3 linked regions of the Saccharomyces cerevisiae S288C genome follow. Changing the gene in region 3 together with the main gene of any one other region gives a genetic interaction. Each region holds a gene or a part of one and is shown on either strand. Other genes may lie near its edges.

Region 1 (3,757 bases), on a different chromosome or scaffold from region 3:
GACACGCTTGGGGCTGGGGATCTTGAAAGTAAAACAGGTGATACGTTACTATGTACTCCTGGCACAGAGCCACTATTGGGACCAAGAGCACTCTGAGGTAAGATTCTCTCCGTGCCATCCTCTGGTGCTGGAACGTTTAGTAATGGAGATAGCGATCTGGAAGCGGCAGCAGACGAGGCAGACGGTGGTAGCCCTAGATTGTCACGTTGATTTCTAATTTTTGTCAACCGTATACGTAAATCTTCTAAATCCTGTTGCTGATCCTCGACAGTCGAACATTCGCTTCCCAAAGGAGTACATGTTCCAGACGTTTCCACAGCCGTGCGAGTGAAAGAACCGCTATAAAGACGATCATATACGTGCATTTCATAATTTGGGGGCGTCATCAAGTCTGAAATGGTAGGAACAGAGCCACCGCTACGCATATCCGCTAATAATTCCAACCCTGTGACTGATGCTGATCTAGAAAACAGATATTCCTCTTCCTCTTCTTGTGATGAGTTTTCGTCTTTCTGGTTAGTGGTGCTAAAAAGCGAATACAAATTCGAGGATGACAATGGTTTTATTGAAAGTGCCACAAATGGTGAAATAAAAAGTTGAATCGGTAAGGACGCTCTTAACTCAGATTTATGACCATCTGGGTTAATTAGGATGATGAAAAATTTGAGCTTATGGCGAACCTTAATGTTAGAGCGGACATCACAATCTTGCACACAGTTTGATAAGCTGTTCGGGATTTGCAGGATGGTATCAATCTCCCACTTGTCTTGGAATGAATGATCAGGCTGAAAAAAGGGGTTATTTACAAAGCAACCATTACCATTAAATTCTCCAGATGACTCGTTCAAGGGATCTTCAAGATTTAGTTCTGTCACTTGCCTATTTTCAGAAATTACTGGAGGGAAGGGGTCACAATATTGATAATTCTCAAATAATACGACTTTGATTGAGCCCAATTTCAAACCTTTCGAAAGAGGTACAATGGAAATATTTATAGGGGTGGCTGAACCAATAGCTACGGCTTTGTTGGGTACTGAAATAGAATAATCCACTTTGTCGGGCCATGAGTTATCTACACAAACAGTTTCTGATAACTCCACTGCTGCGGGTGAAATGGTTCTCAGAACTCTAATATTTTTCCTACAGATCAAATCACTATAATTTTTGCTGCGTTCAATAACGGATTCCATGCTATATGTCACGAAGCAATTTGGCAAAGATTCTACGCTCTCTGGTAACGAACCAGGCAAAATAGCACTAAAGGGAAAATCGTAGTTGCCCTTATCTAAAGTACATGAAGAGGGTGAGGAGGACCCCTTTAAAGACTTCAAGGAACTTGTGGACTGAGCTCTTTGGCGAGTGCCCAAGATATTACTTGATGAGCTACTGCCCGCAAGGCCAGATTGCCCTCTTAAACCACTCAGATACTCCTTGAGGTTAACATTATCCCATGCGTAATTATAAAAAACTTTGTTGTACTTTCTGATCTTTGGCGGCGATGAAGACAACGACGAAGAACTAGCGTCCTGGGGCCTCTCTAATGGTACGTCTATTTGTATCTTCCCATAAAGTCTCAATGATATGCTTTTGATCTGCATGGGTTCGTTAATCGATAAAACGATGCAACCAGATAAAAGCACCGAGGGGGCCTCGTTTGGAGGACCTTTGAGGAGTATTACATCGTTGTCAACATTTTTAAGTCTGATATCGAAAAGCAGAGGCTTTTTCTTAGTTGATTTACCGCTACTGAAGCCCATGTCGAACTTTTTGTATTTTTATTTTGCTAAGAGAGCTGCCTCTATGTAGCAACAATAGATATTGGCTCTTTATCAACGCCAATTATATAAACGAAAATAGCAAAAGGGTTTATACGCACTTTAAAACACCCTGATTCATCTATTAGCCGTATAGAGAATATACCGCATCACAAGTGATTTACCCGCGTGAAGTTAACTCTTCCGAGGAATCAAATACCAACTGATCCAAATTCGTAATCAACAGGGCTAAGCCGGAAGGAGGCTTCGTAGCGTAGTAACGTCACTCCAGTGATCCTTTTTCGACAAACAAATACTCGATCCATGAAAGCCATTTTTTTGAATTTTTATATCGAAAATTTCCCCTTTAGGCGAGTTCTATTGTTTTAAATAAAAACACCGCAACAAGATAATGGTGACGAAAATATTATGCAAAAGGATAGATTATACGCAGGAGTTTATATAAACTATATTGTGTATGCGTTGTGACGTACGGAAGGCAGCGCGAGACACTTCCGTGATCAATCCATCAAGATGGAATACTGTGACAATATTAAGCAATCGCCGCCTCTCTCCGGGTCCATAACAAAGTTGTATAGGTATCCATCCGAGGAAACGACCCTGATGGGGACCATCTTCATAACAGGCTCATGGTAGGACTCTGTACTTGCGGAATTGCCAGTTTCGAAGAGTTCCGGATACTCGGATGTGTCTATATCTATTGGAGAGCCTATACTTGATATGGTCATTACATGGGAATTGGTTTCAACGGGAAGTTTCAAAGACGCAAAATGGCGCGAGGATTCCAACAACGATGTAACTTTGATGGGGAAAATCTGACCCAATGTTCTGGCAGCTCTTCGGGATAGCTTTTGAGAAGAGTAACGTATCATCCTACCCATTGTCTTTCTTGATGCATCCACATATGGTTCTCTTGCGAGTCTTGTCGGGTTTTCCTCGTCACTCAGCGCATCGATACTGGTGGTATCGAGCGATGAATCATCGGCTGCAGCTTCTTCCATGTTGCTATCATCGCTGTCTAGTTTATTGTTGCTCATTGAATGCCCCAATTTGAAGATATGCACGGTTTTGGAAGAGCCGGTAACCGCCAAGTACTGGCTATCTTCACTGAATGATATGGAGTAAATTCTTGTCGCGTACGTCCCTCTCCTGAATTGGTAGATCTTATCACCCGTTTCAATGTCAAAGACCCTGATGATAGTACCTTTATCAGAGGCGGTAGCCATTAGTGTCCCATCAAAACTAATTGCCATTGCAGCAATCTCGCCCTTATGAGCTTCGATGACCATGGTTGGCTGTAATGTTTCCAAGTTGAATACGATCACATCACCATTCTTTATTATACTGCTGTTACCGCCGTTACTGCTTGTTGGATCCGCATCATCCCTCTTAGTAAAGCTCGAATACTGATCCAAGTCGCTAATGTCACTATGGCCAGCATCTTGCTGATCTCTCTTGAAACTGGTCTCTGTGTTGCCACCAACTGACAATGTGATATTGTTTGTGGTGGCATGAGCTTTAATTTCGGAGTTAATAACTTTTGGTGGTGATGGATACACTAAATAGCTGTTGGCTACCGAAGGAGACATAGCCATAAGGCCACGTGGGTTAGGGTTTGTTTCTATAGTATGCAATAGTCTCATGGTGTTGATATCATAAATATAAATCTGCTCTTGTAAAAGTACCACCAATCGAGACTTATTCATTTTCACACTCAGAATAGAAGTAGGGAAAGTCACCTCACAGATAATAGAATGTTTTTTTGTGTTGATTATACGCAATCTCCTTGGTGAAAGCGCAGGTTGATCGCCTATCCCAACGAGGGCTAGTAACGAGGTGGAGAACAACATCTCGACGATAGCATAGCCCCCACTGTCCTCTGAATAAAATTTTCCGAAGGGCTCACAATTGAATATTTTGAAACCTTTCGACGTTCCAAGGGAAATACACGTTCCGGTTTGATTGAAATTAATAAAGTTGAT
Region 2 (3,757 bases), on a different chromosome or scaffold from region 3:
ACTGCTACAGAACCGAAGCAAAAAGCTAATGCTGTGCAAAATAACAATGGTAACTCTGCAGCTTCAAAAAAGAAAAAAAATAAAAACAAGGGCAAAAAAAAGCGTTAAATATTTCATGTATACTAGGAGATTGAATATGAAATAAAATACTATATATATATATTTAGATATAAACCCATCTAAACTATCGAATTGAAGAAAAAAAAGCTAGTAGGAATGTATATATTGTGTATGCGTAAATTGTAAAAAAAACCAAATTCATAATGTCTCTTATTTTCTCGATCTGTTCTTCTTTTTAGAAGATTTGCCTCTGTTTCTTTGACGTTTTTTAGTAGATTTATTTCTAGGGTTCTTATTGATAGCTCCATCTGATACTTCACGGGGGGTATTTGAATTTTCCGGTCTTTTATTGCCATCATCTTCCAATAATGGCGAATTTTCATTGCAACCAGCGTTCTCATCGTTGTTATTAACATTGTTATCGGTGTTGTTATCGTCGGTTTCAAGACTGTCGTGGTAAACATTATTTTCTCTGTCAAAGTTAGAAGAGATTCTTTCATACGTCCCAACAGACCACAGGGGCTTACTAGTTTGCGCCGTTATCCTAGAGGATGACCCTTCTTTTACCTTCATACTACCAAAGAAATTATCAGTGTCAGCATATCTTGGTGGCAATTCTTCTCCTTTCTGTAAAATAGTATCCTTCTTGATCTCGGTTCCATTATACGCAGGAGGAATTCCAATTTGGCCATAAACACTCCCAAACGCATATTTTTTCACATTGGCTTCTATAAAGACGAACCCAACTTGGCCCAAATTAACATGTAATTCAACCTCATCTGACGTCATTTCATCACTTTCATCATGTGGATCGTGAACTCTTTGAAGATCTTTGGCGACTTCAATATCTTTGCCTTCAGAGAGAGCTTCACGGAAGCTAACATTATCCGGGTCTTCCAATAGACCATCCCTCGTATATGTTCTTGTATATGCGGCATTAAACGCGCCAATTCCAATGAAAAGATCAATGCCAATATTTTGTGTTACATCCATTAATTTTTTCCCATTATGTGTAATGAAGATTGTACCTGTTTTATATCTGTAACCGAATCCTACCGTGTCACCTTCTTCCAATTTTGGTAATAATGTGCTGGCAGTGAAGGGGTTATTTATCCTCAGTTTACCTGTGGATTCGTATGCAATGGAGTATTTGGCCATGCCCGGTACCCTGAAATAAGGATATGGTACAGTAGTCAAACCTATACTGAATATACTATTGGACTTTTGAATATGTCTGAAAATTTTAACTTCGAAATACACTGCGTCCTTCCTATTGTGAGGTAGGGGATAGTTCATTACAGTGGATGAGCTCTTATTGAACTTTGAAAATTGAATATCTAGTTTATCCTGGACAATAAAACTGGGTAGAAAGTTTCCATATTCGTCTATATTATCATTAATGCTTGGTAGCAAAAAATAGCTTTGAATGCCACGATCCTTAATAAACTGCTGGTCGTCACTGTCCAAATACGTGCCAAAGTCCTTCACCATTGGCGGGCTCATCATTTGAAACTCTTTCGCTCTTATATACAACTCAACCTCGTACGCTGACATCTTTGGTAATTCTTCAAGTTCTCTTTCCTGAAGAACGATCTCATCATCAAACCCGCCAGGGGATGCAAAACTCGAATCCAACAAGATGCCACTATGTTTTTTACCAAACAAAGAGTGCAGAGTTCCTGAAGTTCGTGTACCTAAGGCGTTCTCTTCGTCGTATTCTGATTCATCATCACCACAAAAGGTGACATATGCCGCTATTACTACCAAGATGAGCATTAATATTGCAAACGTAATAGAAAGACTTATTAAGAAAGCCAAACTAATTGCTGCAGAATCTGAATCCATAGGGGGAGTTGGTACCATGTTAGGGTCACCTACTTTGAAGTCATGATTCGGACTCTCTAGATTACCAAAAGAACTATCCAAAGCCTCATTAAAAGTGACATACATTGCTCTTGTATACCTTCAAGTTTTTTTCTTCTTCCTAGTTACAAATAAAATAGATGAAAAAAGAGCTATTACTGCTTGTTCTGTTTATTTCGATTAATAATACCCACTATTGACTTTACTGAATATAAATATGTGCCAAGTAATCTAAGTACAAGCTGTTCGGATAGCTGAGATTTTGACTCAGGAACCCCTCCCCACAGAAACTCTTTAATAAGTAGACCTGCGAATGTAAAGCGCGCACGTAGTAAGTGACGAGAACAAACAAGCGTTCTAAAATGCAAAATATCGTGAAGAGTACACTGTGGAAAATAAAAATACTAAGTTTCTATAGTATCTAGAAATCTAAAAAATGTGTTAAATGCATTTATGCTATATATCCTCATTTCAACTATTAATGGGGTGACTACAGTGTATCATTAGTTTGTGACGGGCATGTCTCGAAGATACCTATGAAAAAAGACCTTAGTCATCCGACCCATCACTTTCATATTCCCCGCTTGCTTCACTCCACTCTATGTAGTATTCCTTCATTAAAATTTTATAGTTTTTCAGAAACAAAGGATCATATGGGAAGTAACTCTGTAAGTCAATAAATTGTTGTCGAGTGGCTAAAGACCAAGAAGACGATGTGGTATTTGCTTGTGCGGAATTTTCCTTCTTGTCGCTATCAGCTTTGCCGATGATTCCCCTCAATCTTTCATTGTTGTTATTTTCAATTATGCTGAAACAGTACGCGACGCTTTCTTGTTGGGCAATACGAGCAAACATCAACATGACATTTTCATTACAAAACTTTAATGGGTTAAATTTTGAAATGACCATTCTTTGAAAGAATTTGTCCAGTTCACACTCCCAGTTACCATCTGTATCTCTGAAGATGTTATGTCTGAAACAGAAAATGTAACAAAGTGCTTGAAATGCTGCATAGAAATGTTTAAACCTTTCCATACCTCCACGTTGATCAACTTCTTCTTCTCTTTCGATAACGTATCTATTCAACCAGGACGTTAAATAGCTTGCAACGAAAATAATTTGAGTTCTGGATAGTTTCTTGGCCCTCGCAATGTACGACCCCAAATATTGTAATGACTTAATTTTCTTCTCTGCTGCTTCGTTGACGGCAAACGAAATATCTATCAGTGTCACTAAAAATGAATCCATTAGTTCTAATTGTTGTTGTGAAACATGGAACATGATATATTGAATCGACCTGGTATAGTACGTGGGTAGAACATGCGTTTTAAATAATGTTGTTAGAGTGTTGAAGACTCCTACGCCTTCACCGCTTTCTAAACTCTCCGGCGTCACTTGCTCTTCCACATGCGTGCTTACCAAAGTTAAGATAGAGTCCAATTTGGTGGAAAGTTCTTTGATTCCCTGCGTCAACTCCACATTATATTCTTCAGTACCGTCCATACCTTCAATGATGTCCATATCTTCACTATCACTTTGACTACCGTCGGCTGCTCCAGACCTTAACTCTTCATTACTGTTCCCACAATTTTCATCATCATCGTCTCCTGAATCATCATCTAAATCGTCGTCATCCTCTAGATCAACTTCCTCTAGATCATCGTCATCTACATCATCATCTAATTCATCTAATTCATTTTGTAACTCGACATCAATCGAAATAATCTTTTCTATCAGTAAGGACCAAATTTGGAATCCTAGCTCAGAGCAGTAGCCTCTCAATTTCAGCAAATTTGAAGTGTAATTAACCAACTTTCTCCGAGTATCATTTTTA
Region 3 (3,757 bases):
CCAAATTTCTTTGTTCATTTGTGGCGTTGGGTCAATGAGTCAAAAAATGAAAAAAGTCGACAGACGTTTTTCAAAAAGCTTCAAGAAAAGAAGAGAAAAAGTAAAAGCGTATTGGTAAAAAGAGTAAGAACAAAAAGGAGCACAGGCAACCAATATAAAGATGTCCAGTTCACAACAAATAGCCAAAAATGCCCGTAAAGCAGGGAATATTTTGAAAACCATCTCAAACGAGGGCAGATCAGATATTTTATACAAAATTCACGATGCCCTGAAGGCTAATGCGCATGCCATTGAAGAAGCGAATAAAATCGATTTAGCTGTTGCCAAAGAGACTGGCCTAGCGGATTCTTTATTGAAACGTCTCGACCTATTTAAAGGGGACAAATTTGAAGTTATGTTACAAGGTATTAAGGATGTAGCCGAACTAGAAGACCCTGTTGGCAAGGTTAAAATGGCCAGGGAATTAGATGATGGCTTGACGTTGTACCAAGTAACCGCTCCAGTCGGCGTTTTGTTAGTTATCTTTGAATCCCGTCCAGAAGTTATTGCCAATATTACCGCATTGAGTATCAAGTCTGGTAATGCTGCAATTTTGAAGGGTGGTAAAGAGTCTGTGAACACGTTCAGAGAAATGGCAAAGATCGTTAACGACACCATTGCACAATTCCAAAGTGAGACTGGTGTTCCTGTGGGCTCTGTGCAATTGATCGAAACCAGACAGGATGTTTCCGACTTGTTGGATCAAGATGAGTACATCGACTTAGTTGTTCCTCGTGGTTCCAATGCCTTAGTCAGAAAAATCAAGGACACTACAAAAATTCCCGTGTTGGGTCATGCGGATGGTATCTGCTCAATTTACTTGGATGAAGACGCAGATTTGATTAAGGCAAAAAGAATTAGTTTGGATGCAAAGACTAACTACCCAGCTGGTTGCAACGCTATGGAAACGTTGTTGATTAACCCAAAATTCTCTAAGTGGTGGGAAGTTCTGGAAAACTTAACTTTGGAAGGCGGAGTGACTATCCACGCTACAAAAGATTTGAAAACTGCGTATTTTGATAAACTGAATGAGTTAGGGAAATTGACAGAAGCAATTCAATGCAAAACCGTTGATGCTGATGAGGAGCAAGATTTTGATAAGGAATTTTTATCCTTGGATTTGGCTGCCAAGTTTGTTACATCTACAGAATCGGCCATTCAACATATAAATACACACTCTTCGAGACATACCGACGCTATTGTAACGGAAAATAAAGCAAACGCTGAAAAATTTATGAAGGGTGTCGACTCCTCTGGTGTTTACTGGAATGCATCAACTAGATTTGCCGATGGTTTCAGGTACGGTTTTGGTGCTGAAGTGGGTATTTCTACCTCTAAGATTCACGCCCGTGGTCCAGTTGGCTTGGACGGTCTGGTGAGTTATCAATACCAAATAAGAGGTGACGGCCAGGTTGCTAGTGACTACCTTGGTGCTGGTGGTAACAAAGCTTTTGTTCACAAGGATTTAGATATAAAGACTGTGACATTATAAAAATTTTTAGGATAAAGCTAAGTTCCATGTATGAAGGACGTGTATACATAGTTCAGTAAAGCCATCAAATAAGTACTCTTGTCAACTCATTCTATGGTGTGATAGTTAATTGCTTACTTGTATCGCTATTAACGACTTTTTTTTTCTTTTGGCGGAAGCTTCAAGACAAAAATGCGATTTGAGCTGACTCGAACACTTATTAAACCAGACGGAAAAGCACGACTCATACATATCATAGGCAGTTTTTACTAGGGCTCCGAATACTTTGAATAATAAGGTTGATTAAGTTTGTGTGCTTCATCCAATTAGCTTTCAGTTTTCCTTATTTAAGCTTCTGATTTCGGAATCAAAAGTTGAGCAACGTTATAGCTTGCTTTTTCGGAGGAGAACGCTGTTGTTCACATTTCAACACCAGAAATTGCTGATTTTTACTCCTACTTAGTATACATTTCACTAAACAATACGTTTTACCATGGCATTTTCACGTCTTACATCTACTCATCAGTCCAATCATAACGGCTACAGTAATAGCAACAAAAAAGGACAAAGTCTTCCACTAACCCTTTCTATTGATGTAGAATCACCGCCATGTGTTCTTTATGGGTCTGCTATGGAATCCTCAGGTGCTGTGCTAAGTGGACTTTTTACTGTGACGGTTGTCGATCCCTACAGTAGTGCTGAAGATAAATCTTTAAAGAATACAGAATCTAATGTGTCGACTACTTCTAAAAGCCTAAAAAGAAAGAGTACATTTGGTTCTGCACTTTCATCTAGATTGTCCAGCTTGTCAGCGTCGACGTCAAATATCTCTCCTTCAACATCTTCTACATCCATATCGCATTCTCCCACGCCTGCTAATTTAAGAATAATGGCTGGTTATACCAAGATCACCATTACGTCGGTAACACTAAGTTTGGTACAGAAGATCCATTTCCATAAACCCTTTGTGCCTAATATTTCCTCAATGCAAACCTGTATGAACTGTAAAACAAAGATTACAAACATGAAAAGCTGGGAAATTCAGAGTAATACCCAGGATCTTTCTGTTGGAAGCCACTCTTACCCATTTTCCTATCTTATACCGGGGTCTGTCCCATGTTCTTCATCGCTAGGTGCTACGGCTGAAACCCAGGTCAAATACGAACTTATCGCTGTTGTGACGTATATAGATCCTCATAGAAATTCCTTTTCTTCCGGTCATTCTACTCCCAGGAAAGAAGGAAGCTCTTCTAAGAAGCGGTTGTTGCAACTAGCGATGCCCATCGCCGTGACTCGAAGTATACCGCGCGGGCCTGATAAGAATTCTCTAAGAGTATTTCCTCCTACAGAGTTAACTGCTGCTGCTGTTCTTCCTAATGTTGTATATCCTAAATCTACTTTTCCTTTGGAGATGAAATTAGACGGTGTTTCTTCGGGGGATAGGAGATGGCGAATGCGTAAATTGAGTTGGAGAATTGAAGAAACTACAAGAGTTAAAGCACATGCTTGTCCAGTGCACAAGCATGAATTGAGGCAGTTAGAAGAGCAGGTTAAAATAAAAGAGTCAGAAAAAAGTAAAAAGCCACGCAGTCATATTAAGCGTTATGGTGAACTAGGCCCACAAATCCGGGTTGCAGTAAACTCTTTAGAAAATATGCCGTCGCAAAGGCTTCCAGGCGAGCCCGGTCGTGAACAAGCACCTAATTCTTCGGGTCCAGCGTCAACTGGTAATGTTGGACTTGATGATGAAAATCCTGTTAATGAAGATGAGGAAGACCAACCCGGTAGCGAATTCATCCATCCCAGTGACGACGCTTTGCGTCAGGAGTTACTAATGCAGCAACAACGCGCAAGACAACAACAACTTCAACAAGAGCTAAAAAACAACAGTAGTTTATTTACGGAAGAGGTTCGGATAATATCTAAGGGAGAAATGAAGAGTGGATGGAAAACCGATTTTGACAATAATGGAAAGATTGAGCTAGTTACAGAAATAGATTGTATGGGACTTAATTCAGGCGTCTCTAATCCGGTAATGCATGCATCGACACTACAAACTCCTTCCACGGGCAATAAGAAGCCCAGCATCAATGTGGCTTGCGATATACAGGATCCAAATTTAGGTTTGTATGTAAGCCACATCTTGGCAGTGGAAATAGTTGTTGCAGAAGAAACATTGCAATATGCCAATGGGCAACCTATACGGAAACCAAACTCCAAAAACAAGAAAGAAACTAATAACAATAC

What was found.
Region 1: mutations in LDB19 (region 3) and ROG3 impair growth when combined (synthetic growth defect), as found in Saccharomyces cerevisiae (one study listed by BioGRID).
Region 2: mutations in LDB19 (region 3) and SSH4 impair growth when combined (synthetic growth defect), as found in Saccharomyces cerevisiae (2 studies listed by BioGRID, with this or other methods).

The regions. Positions count from the first base shown.
Region 1 is NC_001138.5:194,833-198,589, reverse strand, and holds the start of ROG3 (Rog3p), read right to left. Parts: upstream 1,758-3,757; coding exon 1-1,757. Other genes in the region: phosphoinositide binding protein ATG18, read right to left, coding at 2,276-3,757. UniProt on the Saccharomyces cerevisiae protein: Involved in resistance to GST substrate o-dinitrobenzene (o-DNB).
Region 2 is NC_001143.9:208,846-212,602, reverse strand, and holds SSH4 (Ssh4p), read right to left. Parts: upstream 2,011-3,757; coding exon 271-2,010; downstream 1-270. Other genes in the region: signal recognition particle subunit SRP21, read left to right, coding at 1-108; RRN3 (rDNA-binding RNA polymerase I transcriptional factor), read right to left, coding at 2,473-3,757. UniProt on the Saccharomyces cerevisiae protein: Components of the endosome-vacuole trafficking pathway that regulates nutrient transport. May be involved in processes which determine whether plasma membrane proteins are degraded or routed to the plasma membrane.
Region 3 is NC_001147.6:919,309-923,065, reverse strand, and holds the start of LDB19 (Ldb19p), read left to right. Parts: upstream 1-2,003; coding exon 2,004-3,757. Other genes in the region: PRO2 (glutamate-5-semialdehyde dehydrogenase), read left to right, coding at 161-1,531. UniProt on the Saccharomyces cerevisiae protein: May be involved in protein-linked oligosaccharide phosphorylation since the deletion reduces the negative charge of the cell surface.